Linked DNA regions of Xenopus tropicalis. The protein of the gene in region 3 interacts with the protein of the main gene of each other region in a biochemical or structural test. Links are inferred from orthologs where the notes say so. Each region holds a gene or a part of one and is shown on either strand. Other genes may lie near its edges.

The links.
Region 1: the proteins of rala (region 3) and pld1 form a complex in vitro, tested with the Homo sapiens proteins (2 studies listed by BioGRID). The link is inferred for Xenopus tropicalis from reciprocal best matches to the Homo sapiens genes RALA and PLD1.
Region 2: the proteins of rala (region 3) and exoc2 are reported together in a solved structure, tested with the Homo sapiens proteins (2 studies listed by BioGRID, with this or other methods). The link is inferred for Xenopus tropicalis from reciprocal best matches to the Homo sapiens genes RALA and EXOC2.

The regions. Positions count from the first base shown.
Region 1 is NC_030681.2:111,420,249-111,427,054, reverse strand, and holds part of pld1 (phospholipase D1), read right to left. Parts: intron 6,408-6,806; coding exon 6,204-6,407; intron 5,191-6,203; coding exon 4,971-5,190; intron 4,346-4,970; coding exon 4,217-4,345; intron 3,486-4,216; coding exon 3,367-3,485; intron 2,444-3,366; coding exon 2,330-2,443; intron 1-2,329. UniProt on the Homo sapiens protein: Function as phospholipase selective for phosphatidylcholine. Implicated as a critical step in numerous cellular pathways, including signal transduction, membrane trafficking, and the regulation of mitosis.
Region 2 is NC_030682.2:87,111,744-87,118,549, forward strand, and holds part of exoc2 (exocyst complex component 2), read left to right. Parts: intron 1-2,273; coding exon 2,274-2,419; intron 2,420-3,728; coding exon 3,729-3,810; intron 3,811-4,870; coding exon 4,871-4,973; intron 4,974-6,806. UniProt on the Homo sapiens protein: Component of the exocyst complex involved in the docking of exocytic vesicles with fusion sites on the plasma membrane.
Region 3 is NC_030682.2:64,535,304-64,542,109, reverse strand, and holds part of rala (ras-related protein Ral-A), read right to left. Parts: intron 5,187-6,806; 5' UTR 5,166-5,186; coding exon 5,052-5,165; intron 1,162-5,051; coding exon 953-1,161; intron 1-952. UniProt on the Homo sapiens protein: Multifunctional GTPase involved in a variety of cellular processes including gene expression, cell migration, cell proliferation, oncogenic transformation and membrane trafficking.

The DNA.
Region 1 (6,806 bases), on a different chromosome or scaffold from region 3:
GCATATTTGACTGCTACAATCTACAATCTAGCAGGCCACTACCAGGCTCTCTCACATATTTATCATGGAGTTATACAAAACCAAGTATAAATGAATACAAATCATTTCAAAGCTGACAGCCCAACATGATATATATGATATATATATATATATATATATATATATATATATATATATATATATATAATTAAGGGCTCATTTTCCAAAGGCACATTTTCCTTTTCCTGGATGAGCTAATCTTTTCTGGCACAGTTTAGAAGAAAACACATATGGGTGTAGACAGTAACACCAGTGCAATCACAGAATTCCTGTCTGTGCTGGAAATCAGAGAGGTGTTTCATGATACTGTGTAATATGAATTAACTTCTTAATCACTTAACTATTATTAGGTAACAAAAGCCTGGGAAAAACTGTAAGAAATCTTGCAATAATGGTAGTACTGGCTACTTGCTTTCCATTGTTATACAAATACAAGTCAAACAAGAAACTCGAGAAATATATGGCACCCCTTTTTTTGTTCCTAGTAATCTAATTAAAGTGAAAGCAGAGACATACATTATTCTTTTGATGTCATTGTTAAAGTTTATTCATTAAAGGTGGCCATACATGGGCTGATTTTAGCTGCTAATTCAGGTCCTTTACACCAATTCAGCAGCTTATCTGCCCATGTATGGGCACCCACAAGGGGCCTACCCGATCAACATCTGGCCTAAAATTGACCAGATCTCGATCAGGCAGGTTTGATTTTACATCAGATTGGGGACTGCATTGGCATGTTGATGTGGTCCCAGATCAGACAGCGGCTATGCCCACCATTGTAATTCGATCATTTGGCCCTAGGGCCAAACAACTGTTGTCGCCCACCTTTAGGGCAGGGGTACATGGGGAGATTAGTCGCCCTGTGACAAATCTTAGTTGTCACGGGTGACTAATCTCCCTGCAATGCCATCCCACCAGCTAGAATTTCAATCGCCGGTGGGATGGCATACGTGTGGTTGTGATGTCTCTCAAGACAACGGGCAATGGCGGGACATCGCAGCGACGTGTATGCCATCCCCCGGCAATTTCCATTCTAGCCGGTAGGATGGCATTGCAGGGAGATTAGTCAGCCATGACAACGAAGACACACTAAGCTACTAGTAACAGCTACTTTTTCATGGCTACTAAGCTCCAGAAAATAGACAGTACTGAGAATTGCCTCTGCTAAAATACACGTAGAGACAGTTATCAGTAAATGATCAGCCACGACAAGTTGCTGCTACTAGTTTTCATCCTAAAACATACAGAGCTACTTAGTAGCAGCTACTTGTCAAGGCTACAAAATGCCAGAAAATACCCTGCCATAGACAATACTGAGAAAAGCCTCTGCTAAAACACACGTAGAGACAATCATCAGTAAATTATCTGCACTGTCTATTTTTGTAGCCATGACAAGTAGCTGCTACAAGTAGCTATATGTGTCAGCCCTCAGTGGCTCATGGCCCACTGTGAGATTAGTCGCCTGCAGTTAACCTCCTCTGATGAAGCGCCACATGGTGCGAAACGCGTTAGGAGATTAGGATGCACCTGGTCATGTTTTGGTATAGTATGCTTTTGTTAGGAGTTCTGTTTATGTTCATATTTATTTGAGCCAATAAATGTTGTTGTTTTTATTCCACTGAAAACTTTTGCAATTTATTCTTATATTTGGTTCAGGACTTATCAGTGGGATATTACTGATAGATCCCCTTTCTGAAACCTATTTATTATTTATTGACTATTACAGTCGACTAATTTCCCCAAAATGGCTTTCCAACAACAACGTGAATCGCTGGTGGAAAGGCATAACCGTCCATTCGGTTTCCAGGGCAACTTGAAATGAAAACTAAGCAACGTGTATGTCTTTCCACTGGTGATTAACTTTGTGGTTGGTGGAAAGGCATTTTGGGGAGATCAGTCGCCTGCAGTAGCAGAGATTTAACCACGCACGACTCATCTCCCCGTTGTACATGAGACTTAAATAAATTGCCTATATAAATTTAGGATTTTATAAAAGCACAATAATGAACTTAAAAATCATTATATGAATTTTTGTAACTGTGATTGCAAAGTATTTATTATTAATTGTGGCTGAGGAATTTTAAAATGAAGCTTGTATTTAAAATGTATTAATTAAAATGGAGACATATATAAAAATGTACGTTATCTGCATGTTTTCAATTATACAGCAATATGAGCTAGAATATCACTTATGGGCTTTGTTCTCTAAGTGGTTCTGTACCACCAGACTAGATGTGTTTTTGTAATAACTTGGATTAGCCCAGACACCCCTGAGAAATGCCTGACTCACCTGTACTTGTGCATGCACAGACCCTGGAACTTGATAGGGTAACTCCTTGGCAGTTTTGTTAGATTTTGGAAGCAAGAATGGGTAGGAAAGGGAACGATATTTTGGTTTCATGATCTATTTAAAAAAAAATAAATATATATATATATATAAAACACAACTTACAGCTCTGAAACAGCATTTAATAGGTAGAATAAGCACTTATATATTATATATATTCACTTAGGTACCTTTTAGTTTGTATCTATGTATATCTGTATATCTTTATAAAACGCTACTTAAGTACGCAGAGCTGTACAGTAGAATACATTAATATAAACAGGGGTATTAAGATAATAGATAAATACAAAGTATTACAATAAGCACAAATACATAAAAGATACAATTGCAATAAGATAAGAGTCAAAGACACAAGAGGATGGAGGTCCCAGCCCCGTAGAGCTTACAATCTAGATGGGAGGGTAACTTACAGACACAAATATAAGTGCTGTAGGTCACAGTGGGTGACATTACAATATAAGTGCTAGTCAGGTGCTGGGTGAGTGTTCCAAAACGAAGTCTTTTAGTTTGGTTTTAAAAAGACTGAGGGAGGATTCTCTCCGGAGGAAATCAGGGAGGGCATTCCAAATGTAAGGGGCAGCAAGGCAGAAAGGTTTAAGGCGGGAAATAGCAGTAGTAGGGGGGGCGCAACCAAACGATTGCTCTACGAAGAACGAAGGAGTTAGCCAGGAACGTATGGAGACACAAGGGAAGAGATGTAGTGAGGAGCAGAGGAATGGAGGGCTTTGAAGGTTAAGAGAAGGAGTTTGTAAAATATTCTTTGTTTAATAGGAAGCCACGATAGGGACTTTTGCAGGGGAAGGGCCTGAAATCTCCTGGATAAGAGGAGGAGAATTCTGGCAGCAGTGTTTAATATAGACTGTAGGGGGGAAAGATGGGTTAGGGAGGCCGGTTAGTAGCAGGTTACAGTAGTCAAGGATGAGAGCATGCATGAGCAGCCTAGCTGTTGCAGTAGAAAGAAAGGGACATTTGATACATACTTTAGCAAAGTTCCATCGCTGGATGAAATGCCTTGCAACGTCTCGTGCTGCTTTTCCATGTACAACAGAAGCAATATCATGCCATGGCATTCTAGGGGTCTGGTATCGATCAATGAAATCTAAGCAAAAATACACAATTATGGTAAGGTGCAATGGGAAATGATTACTCTTTACAAGTACAATAGAGGGGATTATAGACAGATGGGGGGGGGATCTTCTTACCCATACAAAAGATCAGCACACCAGAGGCCACCCCTTAGAAGCAGTGTAGGTGGTTCTTCACATTGAGGGTAGTGAGGTTTTGGATGGCTGGTAATGTTCTGATGGCAGATTCTACTTATGTTTTTAAGAGTGACTTGTATAATTTCCTTGAAAAAGCATAATATCCAAGGCTATTGTGACCTTAAGATCTACAGTTAATATAGATATTGGTATATTATATAAGAAGCGTCAATTTTTTTTCACTAATGGTACACAGCCTCCCTGCCAAAGTTACATCCCCTTCACTAAGACATAAGGGCAGTTTTGTAAAAAGCAAACAGACTTTACAGAACACCTCAGTGTGGATGAAGGCATTTTCTCATAATTATGCTGGATGACAAAGTAATTTTTTTTGTCACTGCCCTTAGGGTAAGAACCCATGGATCAGTTGTGTCACCCACGATAGAGCTCTCCGAAAAGGCTTTTCACCAGCAGAGATCTATCATGGGTGACATAACCGCTCCGTGGGTACTTACAATTAGGCCCCTTTGAGAAAAACACTGCTATACCATTATCATAAACTGAATGTTAAAAATGGAATTAATGCATGATAAATGCAACAAATAAAAAGTCTCTAAGAGCAATTTACCTGCAAATGGTTTGTCCAGCTGTACCCAGTCCTTAAAAACAAAGTTGCAGTAGTCCTTTCCATGCCAAAAACGTGTTTCACCTAAGAGTTCTCCCACGCCTGTCTGCAAACTGCGAATTGATCCTCTATCTGCAATCATGTACAGAATGCCTTAACATAAGGACCTATTCACTTTCATTTAGAAAATCACTTTATACAGTAAGTTATTGCCCCACAGTTGGATGCAGATTAGAACAGGGGGTGAACATTTACTAGAAATCTGCGCAAATTACTGCAACCACTGTGGCGACCAGCTGGATCACATTTCAGTTCTCCCCTTGGATCCTAAACTCTCTATTTGATTTTGATTTGATCCATATGCAGACTGCAAAAAGTTCCACTCCCAGCAGGCCTGCATAGGTGTCTTGTTATGATAAGCCTGATTTAGCTAAGCATGTGGGCAATTCAGGCAAAGATCAACTTGTTTGGTGGCCTTGTCTAAACCTCGTCTAAACTGGTTAACCTGTTAAACTGGTGCTTAAACAGGGCTCCCAAAAGTATAAAGTCATTCATACTGGTTATGTAAATGCACTACTCCAAGTAAAAATCTTTAACAGCCTCTATGATATAGTAGAATTGTGTGTATATATATATTAAATACTCATCACAGTTATAACCACCGTATAAACATTTCAATATAAAATGCTCCATATACTTTTTAATATATAATGCTCCAGCTAAATACCTCCATAACATACAGAAAAGACACACTTACGCGATTCACTGTCTATGCTGCTCACACTGTCTGCATGCTGAAGGTTGTGCTTGTGGAGCTGTTTGTAAAGACTGAATTTGGCAAATTTCCTAGATTTTCCCAGTCCTCTGATTCTTGAAGAATCCACTGCATCCTCATCTTTCTTGGCCGGGACTTCAAAACTTTTCTTCTTCTCTGGTCTGTTATCACCATTTAAAGATGAAGTGGAATCAGATGAGATCTTAAAAAAAACAAAAACAAAGGGTAAATTGTTCAGCATGAGCCTAATAAAAAGGGTTTGTGTAGATTTTTACCTTAAAGTCAGCATTCCCTGTAGATTAAATATGAGACTGTACAGAACATTGTATATATTTCTCTTGCATATTTTAGTTAGAGGTATTTTTATGACAGCTTGTCATATAACATATTTTATTTAAATACATAGTTAATTTGGGTTGAAAAAGATAAAAGCCTATCCTACAGCCAGTTCTTTTTCCAAGTACAAATATTATGATACAGTCCAATATCCTTAGTCAGTAACCTGTGTAGTTCTGTATCAAATGCTTTAGCAGACATATACTCTGTCTCTATATGGTTTATTCTGGATCAGATGATAAATGTGTGTTGCTTTAAATGGGTTATTAAAAAAAACAAAAACAAAAAAAAAACAATAAAGGGAATATGTGGGCACATATGCTATTTTTAGCTATTGCTAAAGCAGTAAATTGGCTCATTCTGCTATTTGGTACTTTGTGGTGTTTTATTAGCTCTTTAAATTCTATGATTTATAGCACTTAAATTGTGGAATATCTTCATATAAATGATTAAATGTTCCACGCAGCAAATAATTTTACTATAATACTCTAATATAGTGACCAGGGGCCAATTCATTAAAACACGAGTTTGAATCCCGAATGGGAAAAATTCGGATTGGATACGATAATTTCTGAAGATCACAAATATAACGAAAATGCTTCCGAAAAAATTGTATTAGTCACGATAATATCGTATTGGCGATCCGAAACGCACAAAAATTTCGTACCGAACTATTGTAAACAGCGGCAGAACCTTTTCTGAATTTTTCGTGCAAGCGTCCAAAAAAGCTGCGCAAATGTCCGAAAAAGTCGCGCGGGCACACGAAAAAATCGGCGCAAATAAGCTCGGAGCATTCACGTCTTGATAAATCTCCCCCTCAGTGTTTTGTAATAATGGTTTTATATAACTTTATGTTGCAGATGTTTTCAAGATGATTACCTTATTTATTGCAGTTGTTGACTGTGTTGTTACAATTCGCTTAACGCTGCCAACATCAGTTAGTCTGTGTTCATCATCATCCCATCTTCCGTAGGCTAGGTCAATCCCTCCAACAAAAGCTACAGACTGATCTATCACAACAATCTTTTCATGATGAGCCCAAAGGTACACTGAGGAAGACATGTGATCTGGGTGCCTCATAACCTAAAGACATTAAAACACACAAACAGTGTGTAAAGGTACATAAAACTAAGGCAAACTTTGTTCACTAGATAAAAGTAAAGGTTTCAGTTATCATAATTATGAGGTGTGACAGGAGTAAAGCAAAGTCCACACCAATCACATTTTTGCTAGATAATAATCTTAAGGCAATGTGAGCTCAGAATTTATTTTTTTTGCTTATTTTCCCTAGGTACTGTGAAATGTATATAATATGGATTGTTTAATGTTATCCCTCCAAACAAGTTATGGAAAAACTTATAGGACATGATTTTTCATGTCGTGAGTTGATAATCAAGTATTCCCTAACTCATATTCTAAAGGTGACCATACACAGGAAGATTTCAGCTGCCAATTCTGGTCCTTCAGCGCGATTTGGCAGCT
Region 2 (6,806 bases), about 23 Mb from region 3:
ACTGAAGTGATAACCCTTCTGTTAATATAGTTGCCTAATATCATGAAAAATTGTTTACCACATCTATTCAATCCCAAGGTGATACATTTGGGGGGTTCATGCAAAACAGGGTTTTTGTCTAGGCCCTTGTAATTAGGAACATCCATAAATGTGTACAAAATTCCTTGTAGTATTAATCTAGATATAACTCATTTTACACTTGATGTAATACTGTTTTTGAATGCCACCTGCCAAATATGCAAATCATAATTTCCCCTTCCATCTTGTTTTGCAAAAGAGAAAAGCAGTTTCACACAAGCCAGAGTTTTTACATCAGAGCTCTAAAATTCCAGCTGAGTTGTAACATTATTTGTATTAAACAATTATTGTAACTCAGCGGTGCTCAGATTCTGTGGGCCACCCACAGTGCTGACGAGAGAATATGGCACGCAAACCACCCAGAGAGTCTGATGTAATTTTTTTCATCTTTGCTTAAAGTATGGTCACTAGACCAGATAATGTAGAGCATTTCTACAGGCAGTGATCAAAACTGCCCAAAATGGTTCCAGTTTTCTTTTATTTTCTTTAGTTTTTGGTAAAGGAATAATTAGGTAATTCACGGGTAAAAATATGCAAGCTATTTACAAGCTAAATAAATGGTCTCCTGTACTGAGTGATCACAATAGCACTTTGTAATTTTACAGCGAGTCTGTATTCTAAACCAAAAATCTGAATTCTAAAATACAAATAATCACAAAGAAAATGCTTGTTTACTAAAAAAATAGACTTCAAATTAGTTTTAAGAAAACGTAATCGGCACATTTAAAGTCTGTTATTAAGTTACACATTAAAGGCCTGTTTATAGGAAACGCATTAGCTTTTAATAATGTTTCATTTATATTTATGTCCTACACGTTTTTTATGAAATGTTTAAGTTTTGCATAAAGGCATCACAGTTGATAAGCCACATACAGTAGTGAATGTTTCCTTTTGCATAATATTCAGTTAGTTTTGCAAAATGTTTCCTCTAATACAGTGCTGTCCAACTGGCGTCCCACAACCCCCCTCTGGGTGGCCCCCCACCTGTCTGGCTGCTTTGATGGGTTACCTTTGAGTAAGCTTTAAATTGTATCAGTACTGAGATTAACTGGCTCCCTGCATGGTTCTCACCTCAGATTCAGGCTGTAATCCCTCTGTATTGTTTAAAAATGTAATCCCCTGTACTGTTCACACCTTTTAATCTCTGCATTGTATATCCCCTGCAGTGTTCACACCTCAGGCTGTAATCACCCACATTGTTCACCTGTTCGCACCTTAGACATTGTAGGGACTGCCTGGACTATGCTGCCTGTGTGTATGGCACACACACGGAGCATAGGGTAGGCACATTATGGCACAAAGGCAGCATAGGGCAGGGAGGGTATGGCACAAAGGCAGGGTAGGACAGGCAGAGCATGGCACACACAGGCAGCTAAGGGCAGGCAGAGTATGGCACACACAGGCAGCATAGGGCAGGCGGAGTATGGCACACACAGGCAGGGTAGTGCAGGCAGAGTATGGCACACACAGGCAGGGTAGTGCAGGCAGAGTATGGCACACACAGGCAGCATATGTCAGAGAGGGTATGGCACACAAAGGCAGGGTAGTGCAGGCAGAGTATGGCACACACAGGCAGGGTAGTGCAGGCAGAGTATGGCACACACAGGCAGGGTAGTGCAGGCAGAGTATGGCACACACAGGCAGCATAGGACAGGCAGAGTGCTGCCTGTGTGTGCCATACTCTGCCTTCCTTTTGCTGCCTGTGGGAGGTGAACCTTACAGGGGTTTGTTAGCAGTTGGAAATAGTCATTAAATGGTCCCTAAGGTGTGTTATTATGTGCTGAGGGTTGCTGTGCTATCCACAGGGGATGAGGACGCATATGGATTTAAGGGTATATCTTAATATGATATAATATAATTCTTTCACATATGATGGTTGATATCCCCGCAGTAAGGACCAAGCAATTGGGTTTTTGCTGCACTACCACTATTGTGATAAAATAGATGTGGTCTGAAGTGGGTGTGGTTTAAAAAAGGGGAGTGGTCAAAACTGGCTTCCATTAGCGGCCCTCCACCATGTATGCTAGAGAAATTCTGGCCCTCGGCACCGCAGAAGTTGGGCAGCACTGCTCTAATATATTTCTATGTGTATGATCACAAGGTGTACTTCATATCCAGGAGTGGTTTAAAATGATTTTGGTGGTGGTACAAGCCTTAGGCAAATCTCATCAGTTAGAACATCTGCTTGTCTCTAGGTGCAAGTACAACAGCTGACACCCTGTTCCAGGAAGTACTTGGTCGCAAGGATAAAGCAGACTCTACAAGAAATGCCTTGAATGTGCTTCAGAGATTTAAATTTCTCTTTAACCTTCCACTTAATATTGAAAAGAACATTCAAAAGGTAATCCCCTGCTGAACAATGTCACCAAACCAATTTGCAACTTGTTCCCTTCATTTTGTTTTTGCTTTTTTTTTTTCTTTTTTTTTTATTGCTTGCCATTAATTCTGCCTGTACCTAGAAACTTGAGGGCAATGGCAGACATTGTTGTTGCCTTGAGCATTTTGTTGCCTGAACTGATAAGAGAGTTGAAAGAATGCTCTTGATGACCCTTTCCTGCTCATGGCAGTGGCAACTGTATTTTTTTAACAAAAGTCTCTCATTCTACAAGTATGGCTGTTCATAGTGATGAGTGAATTTTTTTGCCAGACATACATTTGAAGCAAATTTTTGTTATCACAGAATTTATTTTGTGAAACCATGGCAAAATGTTGGTGCCTGTTGACTCCAGTGCATTTAGCACAACCAGTAAACCTGCTCATTACTCATCTAAGGCACGCTCAAACTGGCCATATACATAATTATAAATGTATAGGATTTTTTATGCAGAATGCTTGAGACCTGGATGAGGAATCTTTCCGTGAGTTGAATCACCATATCTTAAATCTGCTAAAATAAATTTAGATATTAAATAAACCACAATGAGATTGTTTTCCCGCCAATATGGATTCTTGCAGTTACCATCAAGTACAAACTACAGTTTTATTTTTACAGAGAGAAAGGAAATCATTTTTAAAAATTAGAATTATTTGCTTAAAATGGACTCAATGGAATATGGCCTTACTGTTATTTGTACCTTTATTTAGATAAGGGATTGCATACCTGTAATAATGACGTACAAAACAAAGTTTCATGTGGTTATTGGTATTGAGGCCCACCAGTCTCTACCAGTATCGATCTGTTGTGGATATTTATCAGTTAGACCATTGGGCAAGTTTGAATATATTATATGCCAGTGCACCACGTTAAACATTGCATGATGCATATGGAAGTGTTTGTTTTCTGGTATTCTGATGGTTCTTGCTATTTTTCTTGTTTGTTTCTTACTCTTTGTATGTTCTCTAGAAAAAAAATTCACTTCAGTACCTCTGTCCAGTACCTCTCTAAAAAGTGTACTCTCTTTTTAAAAGATATTTACACTGTATTTAACATATTTCTTCACTTGCCAATAAATGTATGGCTAAATTATTTCTTATGGTATATTGCTAGTTTTATACTTTACTTCCATGTTCATATTCTATAGTTTTACATAGTAAAGGGATGAGGTATTGCCACAAAATGTCTAGCTTTAATACAATATAAATATATATACAATACAATATATTTATCTACCAGTAAAGCTGTGTTTTTTTTCCCCGTTATTTTTACGAAGGGTGACTATGATGTTGTCATTAATGACTATGAGAAAGCAAAATCCTTGTTTGGGAAGACTGAAGTCCAGGTTTTTAAAAAAGGTGAGAATAAACTTGCCTAATTGAGAATTGTAAAACACACAAAAAAGGTGAGAATATATTTATCTCTGGTACTAGCAGAAATTTTCTTCAAAAGTTTTATAGAACCACAAATATCTAATAAGTTATTGGTTGTATATTGATTCTAAAGGCTGAAAAATCCATTTTTGTAAGGGTTGTGAATGCTCTTGGAGCACTTCTGAATTTACATAAATTTTCTATTTGTAGTGATTTCTGAGATATTTACAGTTTTAAAATACTAATGCCAGACTATCTACTCATCAGCTGTCTTTGAAAGTTAGAGTTTTAGCGACCCTAAATGACAGTGTACTGCCTGCATATTCAGTTGCTGCACTTTCTCAAGAGCTTTATCTAAAAAAATCACTATCATCCACACTGAAACTTTTAATTTCTTCAAAGTGATTTTAAAGTTGGGCAGTGTTGCATTGACAGAATAAGAAGGGAAGAGGAGCTGTCAGTTTGAAGGAACAGAAACGAAAAATATAAAGGTGGCTATACTGTTTGTGGCCCCTTGTACAGTATTTTTCCATATGGCCAGAGCTTGCTTTTCAGCAAGTGCCACGGATCAATATTCCTGCTTCTCTGTTGCTCTGTCTGTCACCCTTCCTTAATAATTTTCAATGACAAGCTCCCTGGCTGGCACATACATTTTTGGGATTGCAGAAACTGCAAGCGAGTTTCTGAACTCAATCTTATTTTCTTTAAAGTGATTTTTTTTTTTGGCTTGCTGAATTGGTTTTAAATAAAAACTAAAATGTTTTTTGCACAAGCAGGGTTTTGGCAAAAAAAGACTGGAACACACAATAATAACTCAATAATGATATTATAATAATAAACTCAATAATAATATTATAATAATAACTCAAACAATAATTATAATAAACACAAATAAATGCGAAGTTCAGTTACACTGAAGATTAAGCTAACTGTCCCCATAGAGCTTACAATGTAAGTAAAGTCCTTCGGTACACTAATTCCATTCATTTGATATGATATATAATATCACATTTTACAGAATTGTAAGTCTATGTTCATCTTTTAGTGTATGCTGAAGTGGAAACCCGTATTGAATCTTTACGAAATTTACTATTGGACAAGTTGTTGGAAACTCCATCCACTTTGCATGATCAAAAACGCTACATCAGGTGAGATAGACTGTTCCAGTATTTGCACAATAGATTTAATTTGGGTCTTGGGGAACCAGGAGTTTTTTTTTGTTACTGGCCAAGTTGCCCTTATTTTGAATGCTGAATATTATATTGCCATTATTATTTACTGCACTGTTATTTTTAAATAAGGTTAATCGCAACTCTTCTGCTTTTCAACTAGTGACTGCCTTGGTAGTCCTGTCCAAATCTTCTTTTGCTATCACACGTATATTATAAAGTAGAAAGAGACCCCTGAAAGTACAGTATTCCTAATTGATGTCATGGGGATTATAATAAAGACCTAGCCATTTTCTTTATGTCCCAAGGTGCCACAGCCATGGGACTAGTTCTCTGATAAACTTCAGTCACACTTTACTGCTGCACTGCAAGTTGGAGCGATATCACCCCCCTTCCTTTTTCCCCCAGGAGCCAATCAGCACAATAATGGGAAGGTAGCAAGATAGCAGCTCCCTGACACCTCTATTCCTAAAAGTGGTAAATATCAGAATAGCACTTAATAGTAAAATATCCATGACTCCTCTAGTTACATAGAGTAGGAGAAACAGCAGTTTGTTTGAATAGCTGCTTTAAAGCAATTCTAACATGTAGTTCTGGCTCCTTCTGAAAGTTCTGAATTGGGCACAATCCACTGAGATGGCTGCCTACACACCAATATTATAACTAAAAAAATACATTTGTTGGTTCAAAAATACAATTTTAAATGGTAAAATGAATTATTTGCTATGTAAACAGTGTAATTTAGAAATAAAACGTACACCATAAAAATCATAGCAGGATCACTTTTAAACATTTGAGCAGTTGAATTAGTCCTTTTTTGAGTTCACCTCTATAACTTTGCATACATCAGTCTAATATTATACTATTATCTTTTATACTACCCTCTAAATAAATTCCTCTTTTCTAATCATAGCATAGTTAACAAGGCGTTTTGTCCTTTCAGCTCAGTATGTCACCCTGTGTTTTTTCTGTAAACACCCTGAACAGAAACCCTTTTTATGATCTATTACTTAAACCTGTGTTTACGTTTTGTTTCTTATATTCACCCCTCCTTTTTACAATGTCTGCTAATAGTATGCTAGTTGTTGCTGCTGTGCTGACATTGAAAAAAATCTGTGAATTTAAGGATTTAAACTGTACACCGTTTTTAAGTTGCTCCAGTGCAGTTCTATAATTCTACTTAAGTCAGATTTTTTTTTTGTAAAACACCTGCATCTTCCTCTGGTGAGATTACCCTGTTAAGGTAGTGTTAACATCCTATGCAAATACCCTTTACAGTTTTCAGTGTATCTGCATACATTCCATTTCCATTCTCTCATCGTTTTCTTTGTTTTGGGCAGCAAAACATATCCTTTGACACCTGTAACTAATTGGTTTCTGTATTTGCTATTTTAAGATATTTTTAACTGGGCATTTGAAGCCCTCAGTTGTTCTTTCTGGTGTTTGAAGTAAAGTGTTCTGAGCTTCTGTTTGAAATCTCACATAAATTAGGCGTATGCACTGAAATAAATAGATCCTGCTGCTGGAAGATATGCTCTGACACTCGCAACAAAAATAAATAGTTGTCATTTTTCAGGACATCATTCTTATAAATCATCCAGTCTACTCATTATTTGAACTAAGCTGGCAAGTAAGCAACTGCTAAATATGTGTAATGCAGTTCTGCAACCATATCCATGCACAGAGGACTGAAGACTATACAGTAAAAACCAGATAAAGATCACAAGATAGATGAAAAAAATGTTGCAGCTTGCTTCTGTTTAGTTTTGTTGTTGTAGGCTCTGATTGATCTCTGATCTTTGGTTTTTGCTG
Region 3 (6,806 bases):
AAATGCAAGCTTTCAAGGCAATTTAGGTTACTTCTTAAGGCATGGTATAATACAAAAACTGAAAAATCTTAACATTTATACACAATAGCACAGGGTAAAAAAGCTATTATAAATCTGACATGTTGGAATATGTCATAAGGCTAAAAGGCATTTCTGAAAAAGTGTAGGTTTCGTGCGGGAAGCAGCGATTTCTTTGACAGAATTGTATGTGGTAAAATATGTACTTATGATCCAATAATAAAAAAAAAATTTCCTTTCTTGCTTTATGTAGAATTATGACATTTTTTTTTATGTACAATTTAGACAAGCAATATTGGGGCTCACATGTATTAATAAGCCACGGGGGAGCTATGTCATGCAATCTATTAAAATGTACAGACATTTATAGTGTCCACATTATCCCCAGAAACATTTATCTTAGATACTCATTTTAGGGTGGGACAAAATATACTGAGTGGTAAAAAATGTTGTTTTAGTGGTAAGCGACATTCAGAAACAGTGAATGTCAGGCAGCAGGAATCCCAAGCAGGTGAGTCAGTGTCTTTCCTCTAAAACACAGATTCTATTATGCAGTTAGTATTCATTTTCAATAAAAAAAAAAAAAAAAGCCTAGTTGTAATGTAACTGTATATCCTCACTTTAAGGAGTTGCCTACCATTTTGTAATGAACAACCCTTTAAACTCCTTCAAAAATGTCAACAATTTTCTGGTATACCTGCTGTATGTTAGGCAGGTATTAGTATTATTTACATTGGAACATAACATTTGCTTTTACAGAGGTTTTTATCAGGTAGAACTGCAGCAATCAAAATGTAGTTCACTTTCACTTGAATGGGAAACATGCTTTGTGTGGCAGATGTTTCTACATAGAAGTTATTATTTCTGAGCTAAAAATTGCAAATTGTGATGGTAAATCTTTAGCAAAAACCATGTACTGTCCAAAGCAGCTCACCTAAAGTCTGCTGTTGCAGCAAAAGATTCCTGTTCTGTGATCGAAAAAACACAAAGGAACCCTTCCCCACTTCGAAAGTAATTATCTCTGATGGCTGCATAGTCCTCCTGGCCAGCAGTATCCAAGATATCAATCTGGACTTCCACTCCATCCAGCACAACCTTTTTCCTGTAACTGTCTGCTTTGGTAGGTTCGTAGTCTTCCACAAACTAGTAAACAAAACACAAACTTAAAGAAAACATTCCTAAGAATGGTCTGGAATTGTTACATGTGCATATATTATATATATATATATATATATATATATATATATATATATATATATATATATATATATATATATATATATAAGCGTCAGCTGATATTTTACCTTTATAACAGGTATGGATGTTTTAATAAAAAAAAAAATAGTTTTTTATGTTTGATTCAAAATAAACTTTTTTTTTTATACAGCTTTTTATGTCTGGACTATAGTCCTCAAAGTACGCCCCCCTCCAGCTCCAGCTCCCTGCTGCGGAGTCAAACTACGGCCCGCTCCGGTGTCCTCCCTCTCCCAGCTCCCCCATTCTGTCCATCCTCCCTCTTCCAATCCCCACTGCAAGGGGCGAGGACGCAGCGGGGGCGGGGTCTGGCCCGCTGGCCATAGTTTGAGGATCCCTGCTCTAAAGCTTTAGAGACCTAGTACATAGGAGGGGAACAGGAGGGGTGAGTGGGTTGCACTTGAATTAAACACAGGGCACCTTTGAAGATTTTTTTTTTGCGGGGGGAACAGCGCAGTCTCTGTGACTTTGTGCAACTGCAGAATACCAAAGTGCCATGGATATTTTTCCACTGGCGATTTACATCGCTACCAGTTGGTGTAATAAAAAGCCACAGGAGAACAGAGAGTTCTCTTTGAATTGTATTTAATCAACACACAGTGCATACACATTATACTGCAAATATAACAAATATAATACAATTTCCAATAAGTCCAAAACACAACTATATTACACATATATTAACATGTGGGAGAGGCAGTTTACACGCCATTCATGCTTGGTATGTATGGATCCAGAATGATATTTTATCAAAAAAGTGCATGCCTGATCTGCAGTCGAGCAGGAGCCAGCAAGCATGGGCAAGTAGACAGTTCTTTTACCAGCTTCCTGTTCAATGGTGGTGAAGGAAAGCTTAGTATACTAAAGCGGACAGAGCTTCATTATAGATAAGGAAGTTACTTATCTGAGCTGCAAAACGTTTACTTATTCTTTAAGCCCAAATGGAAGGGCCTTAAATTGAATATGGTCTTGGCTCAGAGCAAGGGATACCAGGGAGCCTAGGGAAAGATGGCTGTGGCCTTCTTTGGACAAGAGCAACACTACAGCATTAAAATACATTGACACTTCAATGCCATGTACAAATAAGAATATTTCTTAAGCTATGTAATTATTTTATGCAGAGGTGTGAAATTATTGAGCTGCAAAAATTGTTTGCTGCCTGAATTTGTCCTATTATTGGGTAAAAGGTGATCTGTCACTAAGAAATAATTCAGGCAGGTGCCATTTTGTGGAAACAAGGCAAACTATGCATTATCCCAAAATTCCATGTAAGAGAAGAAAGAAATGTAAGAAAGGAGGACATGATGCACACACCCAAGCACAAGTTATGCAACACAGTGAAGAGGGCAGGGGCATGCGAAGAGTTAAGTAACATTAGGAAGTATAGAAATTACTGTAATTGCAGCCAGGACGAGAAGGTAAAATATGATTGACAACTAAGATTTTTAAAATTAGTTTATAACAGCTATTGATGTTTGAATAATGAAAAATCCCATTAATATCAGGGAGAGGTGGCATGACCAACCATGGCCCATTACTATCTTCCAAAAAAGGCAGCTCATAACATTTAATGACATTAACACAAAGTTATTGACATCGCTGGGAAAAGTAATTCTGATTTGTCCACAGAAACAGAGCCTATATAGTGAAATAATCAGATTTTTTTTTCATTTCCTGAAGCAAGCATACCAATTTAATATTTTAAATTAGATTTTCATATACAGGTATGTGATACTTTATCCGAAAAATTACGAAAAGGCTATCACTGATAGACTCCATTTTATGCATATAATTCTAAATTTTAATACATACTTCCTTTTTCTTTGTAATAATAAAACAGTACCTTGTACTTGATCTCAGTTAATATATAATTAATCTTTATTGGTGAAAAAATTATCCTGTTGGGTTTATTTCATGTTTAAATGATTTTTAGTAGACTTAAGGTATGGAGATCTAAATTACAGGAAGACCCCTTATCTGGAAAACCCCAGGTCTCAAGCATTCTGGGAACGTTACAGGTATAGGACCCTTTATCCAAAGTAATAATAGTGCCAAAAGGACACTCCTACCTCTTGCTTTTTGTCATTTTGTACAATTCACAGGGAAGGCATGTCCTCTGTAAATAAGGTTTATTAGGAAAGGAGTTAATACAGGAGCAAAGTAAAGAGTAAAGGACAAACAAGTAAGAAGTATCCAAAGAACTACTATATTTTATTTCATCTATAGATTAAATTATTGGAAGCAATCGTTCTTTTCCTTCAATCCAATCAATCCCTACCTGACAGGCTCAACATTTGCCATAAGCAGCATGTTCTTCATTCAGGGAAATCCATGACCATAAGTATATTATGGAAGAAGATAAAACACCCCACAAACTGTTAAAAGTCAGCTAAACAAAGGTCTTCATCTAAGCTTGCTGGGTGCAGGAAGCAGTAAGAAAACAAATGAATCATGCACAGCATTTTTTGGCAGCCGTACTGCTGAGCAGGGCAGAATAAACCTGCCTATATTATACCTCCCAATTGTCATAATTTTCACAGGACAGTCCTGATTTTAAAAGCTCAGCCCCCAGTCCCGGGTTCTTATTGAAAAGTCCCTCATTTCCCTTTGATCACCTGCACTGAACGCCAAAAAAGATATAAAGTTTCTCAAACTTAATCAGATAAGTAGGCTTTTGGCAGAGAGCCCAGACTACTCAACACCTGCAATTAGATACAATTGTACTAATAAGATAAACAGGTCTCTTGGGGGAATGGAGAATTGCATCGTAAAAGGCAATTTCACCTTCATTAGCAAAACTGTAAAAAAAAACATAAAACAAGACCCCAAACCTACCTCCAGAGTATTTAGGGGGTGTGGTCACAAAAATGGGCATGGTACCTCTTTAAATTTTTCAAATGTTGGGAGGTATGCTATATGTAAATACTGATTTGAAACTGAAAGTCCCAGCACAGGTGATGTACAGTAGGTCTGTCTCTAACTCCAATTGGCACAGAATAAAATATAAAACCTGAGTTGCATGAGCTGCAGCATATTCACTAGATAAAAGACTTCTTTATATAAAATAGCTGGAAATCCAAAGGTCATATTTGCCCAAGGTTTACAAACACAAGATGCCAAACTACAGCTTCAACTATGCTTTAAAACTTACAGCACAGCAGCTTTGGAACTACTAATTCTAGCACAGAAAGGGTTACTAGGATTTAGTTAAAACAACTGGATTTACGGGACAATCAAGTGACAGTTAAGAGAGGGCTGGTATTATATTTGGTGATAGAAAATTGGTATTATATAAATTTAAATCTCATTGCTGCAGCCACCAGTCCTCATAGTAATGTTGGCAGCCTGTAGAACTTAAGCTTCTGCATGCTGAATTGCACCTTGTATTTTATTTTCCATTTACCCATGTTCATTTGTGTTCATTTATGCTGGGAAATGGACAGCTCTCTTTTTCTACTGGTATTGGGATCCCTTATCTGGATACCTGATACCCAGAAAGTTTAGAGTTACAGGATGGCATCTCCCATGGAGCCCATTATAAGCTATTCCCGTTTATTTAGCTTTTTCCTAATAATAAAAAAGAACATTACATTGTGTTTAGTCCTAAGTACCCTGGTGATCTACCCAGGTGACTGAGCTATTCTTTTAGTCTTATTTAATATTTAACTGTTTATTATAATATTTAGTAGTCCATGCATTTGGTGATCCAAAAATAGATTTCATAACTGTATCAGCAAATCAGCTTTGGTAATAAAACAAACAAAGCAAAAATGACTTACCTCATCATACATAAATTGAAGTGTTAAAGCTGATTTTCCAACTCCACCACTGCCTACCATGATGACTTTGTGCAATGCCAATGAATTCTGCCCTTTGGGCTTATTTGCTGCCATCTTCCGATTTTATGTTAAATTCTGAAGGGGCAAAAATATAATAAGAAAGATCCATTAAAGATTAGCACAAAACAGCCTCATCTGGCCATTCTCAGTATGAAGTACATTAGGGTTTCTTAAACCCTTCAGCTTGGTATTCTGCCTTTTTGGGCAGGGTTTGGTTTCGGGCAAGTCCACTGTCCTGGCCAAACCGATTCCAAATTATCATAAATAAGAATATGCTAATTAGCATCTGGAAGGGTTAATTGCTGCACGCGCCAATTTTTAACCCCTCCGTGTTGGTTCAGTATTCAGCCGAATCCATTGGGGTGGATCCGGGGGTTCGGTGCATCCCTAATAATAAGATGTGTCAAATATTTATTGCCAATGTTTTATTTGATTGGCTCTTATTATACAAGACAACTTTTACTGTTTGTATCTTTAGCAGGTTGTAACCCTACATTTTTGTTTTAAAAGATACATTTTAGGTACTAAATTATATTTTTCATTGGCTTTTAAAACATGTAACCTTTATTTATCCCTCTTTACAGTGCACATTAGTGGTGTCTGCAGAAACCTACCTGGCTGCAGAGGTCATGAACCCACTTCTAGTCTGAATAAAGACCTGCTCCCACATTTACAGCAACAATGATGGATAAAAAGGGGGTGTGACCAGACCAAGTACTAACTCTTGAAGCTTATTAAATTTTAATTTGACCAAACCTATTGTGGAAGATTGCATAAAGTGTTAGTGCTCAGTGTTGTAGAACTTATGACTCTACATCCTATAGCACATAGCTTATTACATCCACAGCATACAGATTGCGGCACTTAAAGGGTTAAATTAATTGAACATAAACAATAAATCAGAATTGTTGCAAATCAGTGTAACATGAAAAAAACAGCAACAGGAGTCTGGTGTGAAGTACAGCTTATGGTCCTTTGAAACAATTATGTGGTGGAAATCCTGTACATAGCACTGCTGACCCTTAAAGTACTTATCCTAGTTTTTTTTGATTTTGAGGTGATCCACCAACTTGTCGGCATCACTGAAAGACTTGGAACTAGATAGCACAAGCTTTCAGGGGTGACCCCTTCTTCAGGTGCACCTGAAGAAGGGGTCACCCCCAAAAGCTTGTGTTGTTTGTTCATTTCTGCAAATAAATGATTTAAAGGCATTGCCGACACACTGGAGTGCTTCTTCCCCTTTGCAAAGATACATGGAAAAAAGGCTAGGGAGCGGCTGTGGAAGTCAAGCACCCTTTGAGAACATGTATGTAAGTGGTGTGCTGAAGATTTTTCTTTATGTTGAAACTAGATAGAACATATTTACACTACTGACATAATGCGAAACCAGCTCAGCAGATACTCCTCAGTAGTGATCAGTCACTCAGATAAAAAAAGCTGTATAATAAATGCCCTGGTTGCTGTGATTGTGGATTCCAAAATAATAAAGGAAACAATTTAAATAATTTATATAGTGTATAAAGCTTATTTTGTTCAACTAGAAAAGAATTTGGAATTATGTATTAGGGTGACAGATCCCCTTTAAAAGCAACATCCATCAAATATTATACAAACGATATGGGATAACAGTGTAGAACTAGAAGTAAACAGGTGTGCATAATGGTGTCATGGACCTCACATGTACCGCTGAAGAAT